Linked DNA regions of Caenorhabditis elegans. The protein of the gene in region 1 binds, or shares a complex with, the protein of each later gene. Each region holds a gene or a part of one and is shown in the gene's direction. Other genes may lie near its edges.

The links.
Region 2: eif-3.I (region 1) and eif-3.L share a complex: the UniProt entries of both Caenorhabditis elegans proteins name them as parts of the eukaryotic translation initiation factor 3 (eIF-3) complex.
Region 3: eif-3.I (region 1) and eif-3.G share a complex: the UniProt entries of both Caenorhabditis elegans proteins name them as parts of the eukaryotic translation initiation factor 3 (eIF-3) complex.
Region 4: eif-3.I (region 1) and eif-3.B share a complex: the UniProt entries of both Caenorhabditis elegans proteins name them as parts of the eukaryotic translation initiation factor 3 (eIF-3) complex.

What each region holds. Positions count from the first base shown.
Region 1 is NC_003279.8:2,483,882-2,490,297, forward strand, and holds eif-3.I (Eukaryotic translation initiation factor 3 subunit I), read left to right. Parts: upstream 1-1,979; 5' UTR 1,980-1,987; coding exon 1,988-2,123; intron 2,124-2,926; coding exon 2,927-3,360; intron 3,361-4,330; coding exon 4,331-4,685; intron 4,686-5,559; coding exon 5,560-5,618; 3' UTR 5,619-5,906; downstream 5,907-6,416. Other genes in the region: abtm-1 (Iron-sulfur clusters transporter ABCB7, mitochondrial), read right to left, coding at 1,317-1,394, 1,442-1,501; ddx-10 (ATP-dependent RNA helicase), read left to right, coding at 6,103-6,309, 6,356-6,416. UniProt on the Caenorhabditis elegans protein: Component of the eukaryotic translation initiation factor 3 (eIF-3) complex, which is involved in protein synthesis of a specialized repertoire of mRNAs and, together with other initiation factors, stimulates binding of mRNA and methionyl-tRNAi to the 40S ribosome.
Region 2 is NC_003280.10:5,619,373-5,624,391, reverse strand, and holds eif-3.L (Eukaryotic translation initiation factor 3 subunit L), read left to right. Parts: upstream 1-1,910; coding exon 1,911-1,983; intron 1,984-2,594; coding exon of another isoform or gene 2,595-2,600; coding exon 2,601-2,727; intron 2,728-2,776; coding exon 2,777-3,050; intron 3,051-3,093; coding exon 3,094-3,261; intron 3,262-3,304; coding exon 3,305-3,658; intron 3,659-3,743; coding exon 3,744-3,913; intron 3,914-3,962; coding exon 3,963-4,200; intron 4,201-4,256; coding exon 4,257-4,469; downstream 4,470-5,019. Other genes in the region: npl-4.2 (Nuclear protein localization protein 4 homolog 2), read right to left, coding at 1-633, 681-872, 935-1,300, 1,352-1,495. UniProt on the Caenorhabditis elegans protein: Component of the eukaryotic translation initiation factor 3 (eIF-3) complex, which is involved in protein synthesis of a specialized repertoire of mRNAs and, together with other initiation factors, stimulates binding of mRNA and methionyl-tRNAi to the 40S ribosome.
Region 3 is NC_003280.10:8,441,046-8,444,721, forward strand, and holds eif-3.G (Eukaryotic translation initiation factor 3 subunit G), read left to right. Parts: upstream 1-1,721; 5' UTR 1,722-1,738; coding exon 1,739-1,755; intron 1,756-1,801; coding exon 1,802-1,854; intron 1,855-1,975; coding exon 1,976-2,055; intron 2,056-2,136; coding exon 2,137-2,519; intron 2,520-2,607; coding exon 2,608-2,863; 3' UTR 2,864-3,130; downstream 3,131-3,676. Other genes in the region: lips-10 (LIPaSe related), read left to right, coding at 276-565, 764-956; evl-20 (ADP-ribosylation factor-like protein 2), read left to right, coding at 3,262-3,550, 3,601-3,676. UniProt on the Caenorhabditis elegans protein: RNA-binding component of the eukaryotic translation initiation factor 3 (eIF-3) complex, which is involved in protein synthesis of a specialized repertoire of mRNAs and, together with other initiation factors, stimulates binding of mRNA and methionyl-tRNAi to the 40S ribosome.
Region 4 is NC_003280.10:14,793,755-14,798,743, forward strand, and holds eif-3.B (Eukaryotic translation initiation factor 3 subunit B), read left to right. Parts: upstream 1-1,649; 5' UTR 1,650-1,674; coding exon 1,675-1,756; intron 1,757-1,825; coding exon 1,826-2,019; intron 2,020-2,064; coding exon 2,065-2,397; intron 2,398-2,450; coding exon 2,451-3,158; intron 3,159-3,228; coding exon 3,229-4,089; 3' UTR 4,090-4,481; downstream 4,482-4,989. Other genes in the region: tbc-20 (Rab-GAP TBC domain-containing protein), read left to right, coding at 4,732-4,833, 4,883-4,988. UniProt on the Caenorhabditis elegans protein: RNA-binding component of the eukaryotic translation initiation factor 3 (eIF-3) complex, which is involved in protein synthesis of a specialized repertoire of mRNAs and, together with other initiation factors, stimulates binding of mRNA and methionyl-tRNAi to the 40S ribosome.

The sequences.
Region 1 (6,416 bases):
TCAAATTTGTGATTTTTGAGAATTATTTAAAGCTTCCGATTGAACAAAACTGCACAATTTCTGAAAAACGTGCTATTTCATCGTATTTTAGCTTAAAAATACGATTTTTTGCTCGAAAAATCGCTATTTTGACCAAAATTCAACGGAAAATTCAATTTTTCCATTAAAATTCCACTGAAATTCATATTTTTCGAGGTAAACCGCAGGTTTCGTTTGCTCCGATGAGCTGTTAGAGTTGAATGCCAGTGGACAACTTGATAATGGACAAAATGTGAAATGTAAGCAGAATAACGAAGGAGAACTCAGTTTTGAGTTCGGATCAGAAGCTCAGAAGAAGAATTAATTGATTTTTTAATGTCTTTTTTCGAATTTGGGACACGTTTTTGGTGCTTTTTGAGCTAATAAAGTTGATTTTTGAGCATTTTTTCATGATTTTAGGGTGTAAAAACCTAATTTTACACCAAAAAACTGGGTTTTTCGGATGAAAAATGCAACTTTCCAAGTTCCTTTGGAGCTTCCGAGCTTCATCTCAAATTTGTGATTTTTGAGAATTGTTTGAAGCTTGCGACAACACAATTCCTGGAAAACGTGCTATTTCATCGTATTTTTGCTTAAAAATACGATTCTAAGCACGGAAAGTTGCTACTTTGAACGAAGTTCAACGGAAAATTCAATTTTTCCATTAAAATTCTACTGAAAATCATATTTTTCGAGGTAAAATCCAATTTTCGCAGATTCCATTTGTTGATTTTTAAGCATTTTTTTAAAATGATTTTAAGGTGAAAAAATCCAATTTTCCCCGAAAAACTGGACTTTTCTTAAGAAAAATGCTAGATTTTTCCAGTTCTGGAAAGATTCCCACGTTCCAGTGGTGCTTTCCAGCAACTTTTTCACAAATTTCTGTTTTTTTTTTCAAAATAAACTGCTTTTTTTTTTAGAAATTATATATTTTTTGAGCAGAAAAAGTGAAAATTTCGATATATATTAGGCCTAAAATGGAATTTTTTGAAGAAAATTCAGAAAAAAATTAATTTATAAAAGAGAAAAATCGATATCTCAGCTACCGTAAAAGCTTTAAAGGCGCATAGCAAAATTTAATTCTAACTTTAGAGACTGTAGTTTTCGCTTCGAGACCACAAGCTTATTTTTCGCTCTAATTGGCTAAAAATTAACTTTTTCGAGGCAAAAATTTCTGGAATTAGCTTTAAAAAATGTGAAAATACATATTTTTAACCTAAAAATTCATGGAAATTTCTATAAAATGTTTTTTAAGGATTTTAAAACGTTTTTTTCAACAAATTATCGCAAAACCCCACATTTTTACTAAGAATCTGTGTGGCATTTCTGATGAGTGCTGGTGATTTTGTCAGTGACGAGAAACTGCGGTAAACTGCCTGAAAATCAATATTTTACCGGAAATTCTCGGGTTTTTTAACGATACCTGCGATCTGATAGTGTTTGACGCGTTCCGTAGGCCAGCTATTAGTCGTAATTGTAACATTATCGATCTCTGAAAACTGGATTCGGTGAAGCTTTCGCAAAAAAATCGATGAGAATTGAGAGTTGCGAAATTTAGCAGTTATTTGTGGTGGAACATGTTAAAATTTGAGTTTTTAATTAATATATTGCTAAAAATTTGATAAAATTCACTTTTTAATTGTTGAAAACTACTGAAAACCACTCGAAATTGCTGAAAATTGCTGAAAATCGAAATTTCGTCAGCTGATGTCGATTATTCTGCGCGGGGGTACGGTACGCAAGTCCGCAAACACTGTCACGCCAAATTGCGGAGGTTGAGCCAAATCCTATTTCTTGTTGTTTTTTCGCTTATTTTTCGAATATTTCCCATGTTTTCTGGCTTCTAATTTTCATTTTTTTAATGGAATTTATTAATAATTAAGCCAATAATTCATTTTATAATCAAAACTGCCGAATATTCCACCAATTTCTCGCAGAAACCTTCAAAAATAGGGGATTTCTTTCAGAAATGCGTCCACTTTCGCTGAAAGGCCACGAACGTGCTCTCACTCGGGTCCGTTTCAATCGTGAGGGAGATTTGACGTTCTCCTGTGCTAAGGACAAGAAGCCATGCGTTTGGTATACTGAAAATGGAGAGAGAATCGGTATTTTTGAATATTTTCGCGAAAAATTTTCGCAGAATTAAAGGTGGAGTAGCGCTAGTGGGAAAATTGCTTTAAAACATGCATATGGTACCACAATGACCGAATATCATGATTAAAAATTTCAAAAAAATTTTCTAAATTTTATATGATTTTTTGAAAATTGAAAAAATCTCAGTTTTTGCCTAATTTCAATTTTAATTACCGCCAATTGGATTTGTTCGATGGAGCGCGCTTGCACGTTTTTAAATTTATTTATTTTATTTATTGTTATTTTCCACCGATTTTTAATGTTTTCGGTGTATTTTTGCTTGAATTTTAGAGAAAAAGTCAAAAGAATTGCAAATTTTCAATTAAAAAGCACGCTTACAGGCGTAAATCAGTGAAATTTATTAATTCAGGTTCGAAATCGTTTAAAAGCGTTACTTTTCATTTTTTACGCCTCTAAGCGTGCTTTTTAATCGAAAATTTGCAATTATTTTGACTTTTTCTCTAAAATTCAAGCAAAAATACATCGAAAACATTAAAAATCGTTGGAAAATAACAAAAAATAAAATAAATAAATTTTAAAACGTGCAAGCGCGCTCCATCGAACAAATCCAATTGGCGGTAATTAAAATTGGAATTAGGCAAAAACTGAGATTTTTTTCAATTTTTCAAAAAATCATATAAAATTTAGAAAATTTTTTTGAAATTTTTAATCATGATATTCGGTCACTGTGGTACCATATGCATGTTTTAAAGCAATTTTCCCACTGACGCTACTCCACCTTTTAAATATATTTATTTATTATTTTTCTTTTCAGGTAGCTACGACGGGCATAACGGAGCCGTGTGGGATATCGACGTCTCATGGGACACTACCAAGTGTGTCACCGCGTCCGGAGACCTCACCGTGAAGATTTGGGATGCCGAGCTCGGCAACTGCCTCTACACAATCAACCATCAGACTCCGATGAAGTCGTGCGGATTCTCGTATTCAGGAAATTTGGTGTGCTTCACCACACAAAAGATGACAAAGAATCTCTCGACGTTCCAAGTCCGAGATCTTCGTGATTCAAGTCAAATGGTTGAGGGTGGAGAGTCATTCTTCTACTCACAATTCGATGTGAACGCCACGACCGCACTTTTCACTCAGATGGATGACCTCGTGACGATCGGATTCGAGTCTGGACTCCTTCAGCAGTACGATTTGAGAAATCCGGATACACCAATTCACACTAACGAGAGTGTTCATCGTGTTCGTCATTTTTTCGTTGTTCTCTGGAGCGCTTGCTGACACTTTACGATCTCCTGAATTGGCGGAAATTTTATTGCTAATTTTTGGTTTTTATTGTTGTGGGGAAACATTATTAGAGCCGAAAGTGTGTACAATTTGGAAAATTGGCGAAATTTCGCATTAAAAAACCGTGCGCGGCACAGTTGCGAAGAAGGCGTGCCAGGGTTGCATCCTGACTCCGCACACAAGATTAAAACCAAAAATTCGAAGAAATAATTTAGTTTTCTCGAAAAATGGAACAAAATCGGCAGTTTTTTCGATTTGAAAGCCGTGAAAATCTCATTTTGAAGAGAAAAAGCAGCAAAATCCGGCAGTGATTGATTATTTTGATTATTCTAATTTTTTTCAATGAAAAAACCAATTAAATCAATTAAAACTGTATTTTTCTCTACAAAAAATGTATATTTTAAAATTCTGAAATCAAAAAACTCCCGATTTTTGATGTAAAACCTTAAATTTTACGCGTTTTCGAGTCGTATAAAGCTTCCCAACAACAATATCCATCAAAAATTTATATTAATTTCCATAGAAACCAAAATTAGCAAAAAAACCTTATTTCCCGTGGAAACAAAATTCCGCGAATTCGGGAGTTCGTGAGGTGTCAGCAAGCGCGCTCCAATGATTATAAGACCGAGGCTCCACGAAATTCAAGATCTTGTGGAATTCCGGATCTGGCACCGTACCAACTCAAAAAAAATTAACGCAATTTTTCTGGAAAAAATCCTGACAACGATGCTCCGATGTTACGCATCGCGTGTTGTTTAGCGTTTTTCCTGAAGAAAATTTAAAAAAAAACCACATTTTTCTTCGAGAAAACTGCGAAAACTGCAGTTGGCACGGTGCCAGATCCGGAATTCGACGAGATCTTTAATCCGTGGTGCCTCCGTGATTTCTAAAATAATTTCAAAAAAAAAATTTCCCAAAATTTCAGTACAGCGTCCAAGATCTCCAACTATCACCACGCGGCGATTTCCTGATCTCCGCTTCACGCGACAAGACGGCCGCCCTGCTCGACGTGAACGATCTGAAAAAGCTGAAACAATACAAATCCGAGCGTCCCGTCAACTCGGCATGCATCTCACCGAATCGCGATCACATTTGCCTTGGAGGAGGAGAAGACGCGATGCAGGTCACACAGACGTCTGTCTCTGCTGGACACTTTGAAGCCAAGATCTATCATATGGTGTTCGAAGAGGAATTCGCCAGATTCAAGGGACATTTCGGACCGATTAACACGATGGCCTGGCATCCATCGGGCACAATTATCGCGACTGGAGGAGAAGACGGTATGGGGATTCCACTGCAACTTTTTTTTTGAACGAGGGACGAGGAAATGCGGTTTCTAGGCCATGACCGAGGATCCGACAAGATTTATCAGCAATTTATCTTGCTTTGTTTTCCGCGTTTTTTCTTTTATTTTTCACCGATGTTTCCCCCGTTTTTTCTTATTAAAACTGATGAAGAAATATTGTTTTTGCAGATGCTAAAATAATTTTCAAGTGAAAAAATTGTGAATTCAGCCGGCAAGTAGCGGTGGAAGTGGTCAATGTAATATGATGGATTACGGGAATACTAAACCTAAACTTTCTTCCAAAACATGCTATAAATGCTGCTTAGATGCTGAAACTACCTGATTTTAATAACGAGACCGCTGAAAAAGTTTTGAGATTTTCAAAATTCAACCTTTTTGGCGAAAAAGTCGAGATTTTTCCACAAAATGTTGAATTTTGAAAATCTCAAAAAACTTTTTCAGCGGTCTCGTTATTAAAATCAGGTAGTTTCAGCCTCTAAGCAGCATATGTATCATGTTTCGAAAAAAGTTTAGTGTTTAGTATTCCCGTAATCCATCATATTACATTGACCACTTTCACCGCTACTTGCCGGCTGAATTCACAATTTTTTTCACTTGGAAATTATTTTAGCATCTGGTTTTAAAAAAATTTATTTATCAGTTTTAATAAGAAAAAAACGGGGGAAAAATCGGTGAAAAATAAAAGAAAACTCGCGGAAAACATTGCAAGATAAATTGCCGATAAATCTTGTCGGATCCTCGGCCATGGCCTAGAAACCGCATTTCCTCGTCCCTCGTTCAAAAAAAAGTTGCAGTGCGATTTGAGGATTTTTCATATAAAAATTCAAAAATTATTGATTTTTTTCCAGGTTACATCAGAATTCAAGAGTTCGACGAGGACTACCTCGGCTTCACCTACGATTTTTAATTTGTTCTACGTTTTCGTTTTCTTCCTGTTTCCCGGGCGATCGTATTTGCCAAAAAAAGACCGTTTCCCCCTTTTTCCTACTCGTTCCTGTTGAAAACCGCCTAATTTTAGAGTTTAAATGACGAATTTAAGCCTATGCAGTTCGGAAAACCTTTAAAATTTATCAAATTCTAAAATTACGCGGTGGTGATTTTCTGTTTTTTCCATTTTTTCCATATTTAAGATCAATTTTCGGTGGCTTTTAATTGTTTTTTTTTTCATAAATAAATATTATTTTGAGTTAAAATTGATCTATTCCCTCGAATTTCTTGGTTTTAATCTCCAATTATTATATTTTTAAAAAAAATTAATTTTTTCTCAATTAAAAATTAAGAAAAATTGTGGGCGGAGTCAGAATGCAACCCTGGCACGCTTTTTTCGCAACTGCCGCGCACGATTTTTCCTGCAATTTTTAAATATTTTTACCCAATTTTCAGCGTTTTCAATGCCTCACACAAACGGAAAAGGCGGCGGAGCACAGAAATGGGCTGGAAATAATAAAAGAAAACGAAATTTCGATGGCGAGCAGGATCCAAGTGTCAGAAAAGCGTTGAAGGAGAAGCGGCTTCTGAAAAAGAGAAAACAGGATTTAAAGGGACAGGAGGAGACAATGCTCGACGAAGTTGAGCAGAAATATCAGGAAATGCTCAAGGTAGCTCTAAAAAATAGTTTTTTTATTAAAAAATCGATTTTTCCAGAAAAGCTCCCGCACATTTCTCCGCTTCGAGGATTTCCCGCTCTCCTGGAGGACACTGGAGG
Region 2 (5,019 bases), on another chromosome or scaffold:
TTTAACTGCATCACACAATCGTTTCATCCATTCATCAGAAATCTGCACTTGGTCATTGGTTACTAAATAGAGCAAAAAGTGGAAGTTTGTAGCCTGTTCCAAAAATTGATTTGTAGAGAATTCGGATGAATATTGAATCAAATTTGCACCTCCTTGAAGTTGTCCAATTGCTTGTCGATTTTCAACATTAAATTTGGCACTCTTCGATTTATTAGATGTGCCAACGTGGAACGTGTAGTGAGGCTCTTTTGGCATTCCAGCAGGAACATCCACCAGCAAATATTCAACTGGAAGTGGTCGTCCGTTTTTCATAACCTCGGCTCCGTATTCATTTTTCATCGAAAATTGAACATCAGTTATATAATGTTCTTCGGATAATGGTGTCTCTCGAACATAAGCCAATTCAGGAGTGTACAGTGTTGGACAGAGAATATCAGCTTCAACCATGGCCGCACATTGATTTGAAACTTGATATCCGTGGAAATTAACATGCATCGATTCATCACCAGATGCAACAACGGTCACAAATTTGGATCCATAGTGACGATCCATCGAGTACTCTGTGATGTTTGGATGTTGATTTTGAAGCATTGCTGCGGTGATGCATTCCTCAGCTGATAGGAAGAAGGAATCCTGAAAAATTATTCGTTTTTTGGGCTTCTCTTCGAGATTGTTCTCACCTTGTGCCGTGTATAATGTACAGTTCCTTCAGCACTATTAGCTGTCCAACAATCTGTGAAGATCCATCCAACACGTTGCAAGCCAAGCATTTCCAGCAAATTGTCAATAGTTTTTTGATTTTTATCCTCCAAAAACTCAATTCCATCTTCACGGCAGTGTTGTGGAGGTTCATAAATTGCAGCCACTGTAGCCTGAAAGTATGAGCAATGAAATAACTCGTCTCAAGAAATGAGTGATGAAGTACTGAACTTACCTTGATTCCTAGTGGAACTTCAAGGTGAGGCTGATACTGTCCAATTAAAAATCCAACACGCTGATGGCCCGATAGTCTCCAATAATCCAAAAACTGATTTACAAGCTCTTGATTTTCAATTTGAATGTTATCAACATGACGAAACTTTTGACGATTCAATGTTACAACCTGTGGTTTGCATTTAGTGCAAATTCCTTTCGGGAACGGCTTGTGAGCATCACAGTTGGGTTTTAATGAACATCGAAAGTTTTCCAGCGGTTTTTTGAGAGTCGTGCCCTTCCCCTGGGATCCAAGGAGCTTGCGAACATGTGCATGGAAGCTCATATGCTTGATATCTTTTTCTTTCAAATATTCTTCATCGAATGGCTGTAAATATTGATATTAGTTTCTATGAAAACAACAGAAAATATCACTTACATCAACAGGCAAACAATTAGTGCACTTTTGACGTACAGGATGCCGACAGTTGGGCCCTTTTGGACGCTGAATTTGACCATCTTGCGTGCTTAAAAAAACATCAACGTCGTTGACACGCTCAGTTTGAGGGACTTCAATTACCATATCTGAAATAAAATAGATTTTTAAATGCAGGAAGATATGCCTTCTAGGTAGTGAATTGAAGATATATAATTTTGAGATTTTGCAAAAATAATGCAGCGGAAAGGGTATCAAATTAGTTTCCATACATATTCAAACATTAAACAGCAAATGAAATAAAACATTTTGTTTTTAGAATAAAAAATGTCATCAAAACTGCCTAGACAACATGAATGACGAGCAAATGCGTACACAAAAAACCGTGCGGCACTCTTGCGAAATCCCATGCAACGCTTGCAATTTTCTTTTTTCCATCACATTTTCCAATTCCTTTCATCAAATTTTACAATTAAAAAAATGTTTTCTCTTAATTTTAGCGTACCTTTTCGAATTTAGTTTGACATTTAAATAATATCAATATAAAAACCTTCTTTCAGTAATGTCTCGACGCGTGGAATTCGATTTATCCACTGAAGATCACTCTGATCGTCGTCGCACCAACACCTTTTCTTGTAAGTTCACAGAATGCTATTTTTCAGAATTGATGAATAAGAGTAAAATGAGTTGAAAAATGTTAAAATTTGAAACAGTTCGAAAAGACTGAAGACTCGGTCCTTTTTTGATTAACCGATTTATTTTAATTCGGCAAACAGACATTTGGAGAATTTGGTCTGAAATAATTTTGCATAAAAACTGCAGATTAACATTCCATGAGCAAAATACATAAAATTCAGAAAAACCAAATTTTCCAAATACTGTTACAGTGAAGAATCAATGCCAATTCTCAGAACTCCCTCATTGTATATGAAAATGACTACTTTTGTCATTTTCAGTGTTTTTCGGTGTCGAATATCCTCAAATCTCAGATTAAATGAATCACAGCTTTATTCATTTGAAAGAAATAATAAATGAAAAGGTGTTCATAAGAGTTCATAAGAAGTTAATCATTTAAAAGCCCGAGAGAGAAGTTGAGTATCAGAGGATCAATGATCGTGCATTGTGAAATCTTTTCAAAAGAAAAATTGATAATCAATCAATAGAGTAATTCTATAAACATATTTATGGTAGTTATTTAGGTGCTTGTTAACAACACAAACTTATCTCATTTCTTAATTTTTAACAGCTTCAGCCGATGAGGATGGAGTTCCAAATGAGGTCGCCGACTACCTGGTCTACTTTTCCCGCATGGTTGACGAACAAAATGTGCCGGAAATTTTGACTCTCTACGATCAAGCTTTTCCAGATCTCACCGAGAGGTAATATTTAATAATCTCAAATTGTTTTCTATTTATCTTTTAATTTCAGATTCTTCCGTGATCGCATGTGGCCCGATGAGAATGTTGTCGAAAGAATTATTGGACCTGGCAACAAGTTGTTCATAATTCTCTACAAGGAACTCTATTATCGCCAGCTGTATGCAAGAAATACTCGTGGACCACTCCTTGTCCATCGCTATGAGTCGTTCATGAACTATCAAGAGTTATTCTCTGAGCTTCTCTCAAGCAAGGATCCAATTCCATTGTCTCTCCCTAACGTGTGGCTTTGGGATATTATCGACGAATTCGTCTATCAATTCCAGGTAATATTTTTTGGTAGAGTTTGTACGTAATATAAATATTCAGGCATTCTGTCTCTACAAGGCTAACCCAGGAAAACGCAATGCTGATGAAGTTGAAGATCTCATCAATATCGAAGAAAATCAGAACGCGTGGAATATCTATCCAGTTCTCAACATTCTCTATTCGCTTCTATCAAAATCCCAAATTGTGGAGCAGCTCAAGGCATTGAAGGTTTGTTTAATTCAATATTATTTTTTTGCTTTCAACTCTACAGTCGTTCCAGGAAAAACGCAATCCGGATTCGGTCGCCGATGAATTCGGTCAATCGGATCTCTACTTCAAGCTTGGATATTTCGCTCTCATCGGACTTCTCCGCACTCACGTTCTTCTAGGAGACTATCATCAGGCTTTGAAAACCGTGCAATACGTGGATATTGATCCAAAAGGAATCTACAATACAGTTCCAACTTGCCTTGTTACTCTCCATTACTTTGTTGGATTTTCTCATTTGATGATGAGAAATTACGGAGAAGCTACAAAGATGTTCGTCAATTGTCTGCTTTATATTCAAAGAACAAAGAGTGTTCAAAATCAGCAGCCATCGAAAAAGAACTTCCAATATGATGTTGTGAGTACTTTCTAAATTTTTTGCACAATATTTGCACAATAATTGAATATCTAATGAAGACCCAATAATATTCTGCCGATTTCAGATTGGAAAGACGTGGGATCAGCTTTTCCATCTTCTTGCAATCTGCCTCGCCATCCAGCCACAAAGAATCGATGAAAGCATTGCTTCTCAGCTTTCGGAGCGATGTGGTGAGCGTATGATGCACATGGCGAACGGGAATATCGATGAATTCAGAAATGCTTTTGCTACTGGGTAGGAAACGAAATTAGTCAAGTAATTGTATAGTATTGTATTGTTGCAGATGTCCAAAGTTCTTGTCTCCAACCACAGTTGTCTATGAGGGAGTCAACCAATCGAAAGAACCACTTCTTCGTCAAACTCAATCTTTCCTGGAAGGTATTGAATCACAGATGGCGTTACCAGTTCTTCGTGGATACCTGAAACTTTACACAACACTTCCAACTAAGAAGCTTGCGTCGTTCATGGATGTTGATGATGAGCACTATGATTCGTTCATTGGAAAGCTTCTCACTTACAAGGTATATATAAGAATTTCCGATGATCTCGAGTGTTGATGTAATATTTTGAATTTCAGATGATCGTCAATGAGCTTGGCAAAGAAGCCGGACCATCATCAGCAGACGACGATGAGCCACAAACAGATATTGACTTTTACGTAGACCGTGATATGATCAATATTGCCGATACCAAAGTTGCTCGTCACGTCGGTGAACATTTCATTCGACATATTCAGAAGTTGCAAGAGGTTCAGGATGTGCTCAAACGACTCGATATCCAGAAACCATGATCCTTAAAAAGTATTTGAGCTAAACGAAACATGACTGGTTGATTTCCGGTTAATTTCGTTTAGTTTCACACCAACTCCCACTCGTTTGTTAACATTATATCTCTTGTTGAAAATTAAAAACATCTCTCCGTTTATTTATACCACTTTCTCCTGTTGTTGTCTTTTCGTTTTGGTCCTAAACTTCCTTTTTTTCTCTTATCTCCCAATTATTTTGTATCCATGGTTCATAATAAGTTTAGTAAATTTTTTTGGTTTTTCTTATGAAGTTAATTTATGATTGTTTATATTCTACGCTCATCGCAACTACTTCTCAATTTTTTCCGAATAATTATTAATCTCTCTTACGAGTAGTCTTGTATGTACAGTGATAGACTGTACTTTGACCTATAGGTCCATGGTTTTCACCTAGAACGTAGTCTTATGTGTATTCTCCCACTAGTTATGCCTGCGTCTCCAGTCTCGAGGGAAGATAAGTAGAACAGGAGGACAACAACAATCTTTTCCATTGATCCCGATTTTTTTTCCCGTTTGTTTTCAAAATTAAAAAAAA
Region 3 (3,676 bases), on another chromosome or scaffold:
ACAAAGGGATGATCGGTGATCTTTCAAGACCCGATTGATAACGGCCGGAGTGACGTTGAAACGGAAAAAGGACGTGACCCGAAAAAAGAAGGGATTGTTTACAAACTACACAAAACACAGATTTATAATGACTGGTTGGGTAGACATCTTTCGGAAGGGATCCGGATTGAGAAGGATATTCTAAAAGAAAAGATGAAGGGGAATCTATAGGTGAAATAGGGATTACAATCAACGAAAGGAATATTGCAATCCAAACTGTAACTCTAAAATTTCAGGTTCGCACTCTCATTCTTGCTGTTCATGAATACACTCAGAAACCAGTAAACATCATTGCTTGCTCCATGGGATCTCCAATTACCAGAAAAGCTATTCTTGGAGGACACTGTGTTGATAGTGGAGTCAATTTGGGACGCCCAATTAATCATCTAATTCATAATTATGTTTCTGTTGGTGGAGCAAATCACGGAGCTATTATGTGCGCCAAGCAGCCATTTGTGAATGGAATCTGTAGTTTAACACATGGTTTGGATTGCCGTTCCAAGTTCTTACAAGAGATCAACTCACAGTAAGTTTCGCAAAAAAAGTATCCCAGCACAGGGAATTGAACTCATGCAGGTGTGCGTGAAAGGCAAAACTTTTAGCCACTAAGCCAGCAAGGCTTTTCATTTTTTGGGTATACTAGGGCATACTTAAATTTAATTACGTTGTTTTCTGTACACATAAACATTAATTTCATGATTTTACAAGTCAACATTTTTTTCAGGCCGTTCCAATACGGAAAGAACATGTTCGCCATTTATTCCGTAGCTGACGAAGTTATTGGACTCAGAAATACGTGTGGAGAGATGTCCTCACCATTAGAAGGAGCCACTTCAATCGTCAAAACTAGACTAATGCATGGAGCAGTTATTGGTGGAACTACAGAAGATCAATGGAGGGCTCTTCAAACCTCATAAAAACAAAATCTCACCAAAAATACTAATTGACATCAAATTTCACTTGTGATCTCTTTAATTTCCTTGTTTATATTGATTCGAACTCGTTGCTTTCATTCAAAACTTTGTGTGTATATTGTTCAAAAGTTTAATAAATCAGTACAATCGTTGATTAAATTGGTATTTTGAACGAAAATGATCAGAATGTTAAATTCGTCCAAGTGATCAAGTCCATCAGGCGACTTGTAAGAATTCTCATAAGAATAGAGATAGGAAACTGCTATATTTCGCAGATCAATCTAGACACATGATACAATGTTGTGATTTTCTCCGAAAACGAAGATATTTATTATTTTCTTCAGAAATCTCTTCCGATGAGACTGAATAATCTGTGAAAACCGGAGCGGCGGCGCCATTTGGCTTTTGGGCAATACGGTGCGCAATTCTGCAAACACATGATCCCACGCGCAAATGCACAGATTTCCCAATGCGTCGTTGTTTCCCAAATTTTCGATTTTCGGGATATTTCTACATTTTTAAAAGATTTCCAGCCGTGTTTTTGTTGTAGAATATTTTTTTTACATATTTATAGTTTGTTTTTATAGATATTTGCTAAAAACTATGAATCTAGTTGAATATTCGCTTATTCTGGAAAAAAAAATCAAATACTTTAAAATCTACATGTTTTGAAGAGCTGTTTCTTTTTAATTCTGAAGTTTGTTAAACCATTTATTTGAAATTTTTTCTTATTTTATATTGCTAAAAACATAATCAATAGTTTTTCAGGTAGTAAAGTTACAGCTATGACTGGCATTAACGCGTGAGTTTTCACCCTCGAATAATTATTTACGTAAAGAAAGTTTCAGAATGGCTCCCGCTCCAGAAGTTGTAAGCTGGGCTGAGGCCGTTGAGCAAGACAGTAAGTTTTTCATTTCTCGTCTTCAAGAATATTTACGTGAACTTTCACGGTTTTCGCATTTGGAGTGCAACCGCCTAACAAAACGAGTCATTTCTGTATGAACTGATGAACGCTTTTGCAGACGCCCCACACATCCAGGAAGGAGCTGATGGAACACGTACCGAAACAGCTTTCACTGAGGTTGATGGAGTAAGATGGAAGGTTTGTTATCCGATGGCCAAAAAATTCGCCTTACAGAATTCTCGAGTTATGCTCTAGAATTCTTTCAATTCCAAATTTCAGGTTGTGACACAGTTCAAAGTTATCAACAAACGTGTACCAAAAGTCGTCGCTGATCGCAAAAAATGGGTGAAATTCGGAAGTTGTAAGGGAGAGCCAGCAGGACCCCAAGTTGCCACAACTTACGTGGCTGAAGAAGTCGATATGCAATTCACAAGAAATCGCGCAGGAGAGCAGATTCTTGACGTTCAAGAAGACAAACAGACTGCTAAAACTACAAGCCGTGAGCATTGCCGTCATTGCAAAGGAAACGACCATTGGAGTACTCATTGTCCTTACAAGGTCATGTACCAATTGGACGAGGAAGCTGATGCTGACAAGGATACTGAAAAGGATAGAATGGCAATGGGAATGCGTCCTGATGGAAGACAAATCGATAGAAATCGGTAAGCATTCAAAATACTGTAATCTAAGTTGCCCAAAAAATCTTGATGATTGAATAATTTATGAACTATTTTTAAAACATACTTTCAGATCCGATGAGAATACATGCCGTGTCACCAATCTTCCGCAAGAGATGAACGAAGACGAACTTCGTGATTTGTTCGGAAAGATTGGAAGAGTCATCCGAATCTTCATTGCCCGTGACAAAGTCACTGGTCTCCCGAAAGGATTCGCCTTCGTTACATTTGAATCAAGAGATGACGCCGCCCGTGCAATTGCAGAACTCAATGATATCCGAATGTACCATATGGTTCTCAAAGTCGAATGGACACGTCCGAGCAACTAATCCGTTTTCTGATTTATTTATGTTATGCGTACTTGGATGTTTTCCCGCTGTTTGGTTCTTCATAATTTCGTAGCTAGTGTCTGTCTAAACTGAAAATTACTGTAGACCAATTCGATGTTTGTTGTTCTTTCCTATTGAAATCATAATTTTTACTTTCTATGGTTATCAGAGTTGGCAAGTGAAGTTTATTTTCACGAAGGCAGTTCTAGCTATGAAAATTGTTGGTATTTCCTTTTCTTTCTTCAATGATAAATCTATCTCTTCCTGGTTATTTTTTCGTTCTATTTTTCCAATCGAGTTGGGTTTCTGTCCAATGTAAAATATCATAGTTTGAATAAAAATCTGATGGCTAAAAATTTTCAAACGCAATAGAACATTTTATAACTCAAAAATTCCAGATGGGCTTCTTGAAGATTCTCCGTAAGCAACGTGCTCGGGAACGCGAGATGAGAATATTAATTCTTGGATTAGACAACGCTGGAAAGACTACTTTAATGAAAAAATTCCTCGACGAGCCGACTGATACAATTGAACCAACATTAGGATTTGATATCAAAACCGTGCATTTCAAAGATTTTCAACTAAACTTATGGGATGTTGGCGGACAGAAAAGTCTAAGATCTTATTGGAAGAATTATTTCGAATCCACAGATGCTTTAATTTGGGTGGTAGATTCGTCAGATAGAGGTAGAAACAAATATTTAGGATACATTCAAATTTATAAAAACTTTTTTCAGAGCGTCTTCTACAATGCTCCGAAGAACTCAAAAAATTGCTCGGAGAAGAACGATTAGCCGGTGCTTCTCTTCTAGT
Region 4 (4,989 bases), on another chromosome or scaffold:
TGAGAATAATGTATACTAATCATCATGTTATAGTAAAAATTGCGTGATTTGTACAGTAAAAGGTCAGCAGCATTGTTGTGAGGACTACCCCCTTGGATTGTTGCTTGCTCTTTGATTGTTGAGCGGGCATCGACTGGAGCTCGGTATCGATTGTGCTAGCCAAATAAAAATCGATTAGAGGTGTGGCATTTGAAGAACATCAAATTTCTATAGATACGAAAGTGTCTATATGTATCAAGTAGCAGACTAAAAAAATTCCAAAAAAAATCGCCTACCCCACCTCTATTTTCGATTTTAAATAACCAGTCATTCGATTGAGCGCGCAATTGAGTGCCGCTAGGTCATCAAACAGGGCCGCTCATCGCAAAAACATAGCTTGACAAAATGCTGCTGTGTTACCGTACTAATCATGGAGAACCAAGAATCATCAATCATGAAAAAGCAAGACGATCCGCAGAAGAATAAAAAAGAACTGCTAAAAATCATTTGTGGTTTTGCCTTTAACTTTTCGTTTTATACAAGCTATCCCTTCCGTCGAAGCTGGCAGATTTTGTACCGGCAATACTCTCACTTTTTCCAATGTAAAGCCCAAACCTTTCTGTTGCACAGTCGACAAAACTCATCTAACTCAGAATATGAAACGACCTAACCCTGTCAGAGATATTTTAAGTTTTCAAGTTCTTTCTTAAAATCCAAAACTTCTTTGATTCAACAACTTTTTACTGAAACACTCATAGTCCATACTCTGCAAGGACGAATCCAAAGAGAATAATGTAAACTAATCATCATGTTACAGTAAAACTAACAAAAACACAACTCCGTATCCAGACATAGTCTTCCGATGCAATACACTCACTTTTTCCAATGTAAAGCCCAAACCTTTCTGTTGCACAGTCGACAAAACTCATCTAACCCAGAATATGAAACGACCTAAGACTATCAGAATTATTTTAAGTTTTCAAGTTCTTTCTTAAAATCCAAAACTTCTTTGATTCAACAACTTTTTACTGAAACACTCATAGCAAATCATCTGCAAGGACGAATCCATTGAGAATAATGTATACTAATCATCATGTTATAGTAAAAATTGCGTGATTTGTACAGTAAACGGTCAGCAGCATTGTTGTGAGGACTACCCCCTTGGATTGTTGCTTGCTCTTTGATTGTTGAGCGGGCATCGACTGGAGCTCGGTATCGATTGTGCTATTTACTTAAACAACTGATCGATAAATATATTTAAAATGTACTCGCTGCCGCGTTCTCCGGAAAAAAGGGCAAATGTCCGCATTTCTTCGTAAAGTCTGGTGTTTGCGTACACCCATTTTTCTTTCATTAAATATTTATAAATGCATTGATTCGCGTTTGAGTTTCAAAATTATCTCTATTTGAAATTCCGCGCAAATCTCATGGACGCGGCCTAGGATTCTCTTCGGTCGAGCGCTTGCAACGACGCTCCGTTCTCCCGCATGGGTGTTGTTTAGAGTTTGTTCATATTCCAAATATCGGTCCTATTTTTCAGATTTTCCAGCGTTTTCCAACATTTTTCCACAATTTTCGGAGAAAATTCTGTAAAAATTCAACTTATCTCGTTTTTCCTTCCATTTTCCTTTAAAATATCTCACAATTTACTCAATAAACCGTGTCTAAAGTTTCAGACTAGTTGGGTTACACAGAATGGTCGAAATTGACTTTAATAAAGAGAACGAAGAAGATTTTTCGGATCCGCCAGGATTTGTTGACGACGTCACCGATGATGGTTGGTTTTTTATTCAATTTTTTGAAATCAATTCCAAAAAATAGCCAACAATCAATGTTTTTATTTCAGTTCTCGTTCCTGACGTTCTCCACAAGAAACCAACTATCGATGAATTTGAAGACAATTGCGTCTTCATCGCGGGAATCCCAGTTGTTGGAGCTGACCGTCTTGGAAAACTCCAAAGTGTACTGAAGAAGGTTCTGGAGAGGTTGGATCCTGCAGTGAAGCTCTACATTCCGCCAAGTCCAGAAGGAGGTTGCTTGGTGAGATTCACGCAAACGATATCGATTTTAATATATTTTTTCCAGGGAGTTCTGCTCACCGAGTGGGCCGATCAACGATCCGCTCAGTTCGCCGTGAAAAGTTTGAATGGATATGCTTTCGATAAGAATCACACATTCACCGCCCGTTCTTTCAAGGATATGAAGCAACTCGAAGCTCCTTCCGATCACTGGACAACTCCAGAGAAGCAGGCTTATAATGACGTTGGAGATCTCTGGTGGTGGCTTCAAAACGAGCGTTGCCGTGATCAGTTCGCAATTTCCCACGATAAACTTGGAGTTCCAACTGTCGGAGTGTTCACCAATATGAAGGGAAATGATCCAGAGCTTGCAGGAGATGCCGATAAGGCTGAAAGAGCTGTAAGTTTTGAGAATTATTTGTTTTTAAAAAATGAAATAATTTTTTTTTCCAGAACTGGACCGAAACCGTCTTCACTTGGTCACCACACGGCTCCTACCTTTCCACGATCCATAAGCAAGGAATCATACTTTGGGGAGGCAAAGACTACGCTCGTGCCCACCGTTTCGCTCATACCAACGTTCAATACATTGATTTCTCGCCGTGTGAGACCTACCTTGTTACCTACGCCGCTCCGGAAGAGTCGAACAGCTGGGGAGACTGTGAGAAGGATAGTTTGAGAATTTGGGACGTCCGAACCGGAGAATTGAAGAAGGCCTTTTCCACTTTCGAGCTCACCGGAAGAACTCAGCTCCCAACCTGGCCATTCTTCAGATGGTCATTCGATGAGAAGTACTTCGCGTGCCTCAAGGCTCCAGAAAAGGATAAGCTTGAGCGTGAGCAGAAGATCAACGGAATTTCGATCTTCGAATCCGAGAAGTTCGAGCTCTATGAAGGCCGTCCCGTGAATATCGAGAATATCAAGCAATTCGAGTGGTCGCCAACATCCACAGTCCTCGCCTACTATTCAGAGTGCACTGACGCCGTTCCAGCCGAGTTTGGACTCTTGCAAGTTCCATCAATGCAGAGACTTCGTTCGGCTCGCGTTCACAATGTCGCCGACGCTCAGATGTTCTGGCAGAAGAGCGGAAAGCGATTGGCCTTCTACACGATGAGATTCAAGAAGAAGGAGTACAGAGAGACCGGAGAAGTCAAATATGTGGTAAGTTTTGAGTTTTTTAAAGGATTTTTTGAGGCCTATGACAATAATAATAATAATGATATAATTTCAGGGAGGATGCCAATACCACGTGGACATCTTCGAGATTGACAAGAAGGACGTTTCCCTTATGAATCTCCCACTTTCGGAGCCATTCATCCATTTCGATTGGGATCCAGAAGGCGATAAGTTCTGTGTGCTCGTGGGAAACACCGCTAAGGCCACTCCACAAGTCTACAAGATCGAGGCTAACAGCCACGCACCGAAGCTTGTGAGCAAGTTGGACGCTGGAGTTCACTTCAATGAGGTTCAATTCGCGCCGAAAGGAGGATGGCTTGCAGTTCTCGCCAAGGTGTCAGCTGGAGGAAACGTCTATTTCATTGATACTTCTTTGTCGGAGGCCAAGAGAACTAATGTTATAGAACATCCACTCTTCAATAAGGGATATTGGGATCCAACTGGAAGATACTTTGTGACATGCTCAACGTTGGGAGGAAGAGCCGGAGCCGATTTGGGTTACCGAATCTTCACATTCCAGGGAAGAGAACTGTGCAGAAAGAATCTCGACCGGCTCGCCCAATTCAAGTGGAGACCACGGCCGCCGGTGAAGTTGAGCGAACAGAAGCAGCGTGAGATCAAGAAGAACTTGAAGAAGACCGCCGCCAAGTTCATCAAGCAGGATGACGACGAAAAGTGCAGAGCCAGTCAGGAGGTTGTTGAGAAGCGACGCAAGATCATGGCTGCCTTCGATATTATTCGAAGCCGGAATCGCGAGCAACTCGACGCCACCCGTGACGAGAGAATCTCTCTTCGAAACGGCGTGGACACAGAAGCCCAACTCGACGAGGACGAATTTGTGGATGAGGAGATTACCATTGCGCTGAGCACAAGCAAAACACAAGCCCCTCTGACGGAGGAGGAGATGAGAGACTAATTAGTTATTTGATTTCCCGGTTTTTCCCCTTTTTTATGCGCTGCTTTTTCTTCCTGATTTCTCGAAGACTTGGAGCGGCGTCCCCTCTTTTTGGTGGTTCCACCATGTACTCGTTTTCGTTTTCCTCTTCATTTTCCCAGTCATGTCGTCATTTTCTGAACAACGCCTTTTTCTATGGCAAATTTAACTTTATGATGCCTGAATGGAGAAGGTTTTTTCAAGCTTCTTTTGGGCGGCCCTAATATTATTTAATTGTTTCTCTCTATCCACTTTAATATCTCTTGTTGCTCCCGTCTCTCCGTGTTTTCTGGTGGTTTTTGCCGATAAAATGTTGATGAATTAGTTGATGTTTCAGATTTTTTCCAAATAAACAGAAGTGAAAATTCATAAATTATATTTTTCAGCGCTATAAAATTGTGATTCTGAAAAAAAAATTCCACGTTTATTAAAAATTCCACAAATGGTGCAATGTGACGTGACGGTGTATGCACACTTTGCATTAAATTTGACGACAAATGTCTCATCGGGTTTTCTGTCAATTTTTAATCCACTTTCTCTATTTTACTCTGTTCTTTTTATACTTTTTTAAAATAAAATTTCTATAAAAAACTTTAAACTTCAATTTTAGCAATTAACCCGTTCATGCACTCATCGTTTTCGGAGCCAAATTCGCCGTTGAAAGAGGTGCTCGTAGATAAGTGGCAGACAGCCTCATGCAGCGATTTGGGCGAAGAATATGTAAAAGTAGGGGTTTTTAATGAGAAAATTTAACGAAAAAAAATCAATTTTTCAGCCGGGACCCCTGGCGAGAGCAAAATTCAACGCGTTGCGAAATAAACGCGAAGCAATTGATCGATTTTTGAAAAAGCACCGAAAAGAGGATCTCAGCTTATATATTGG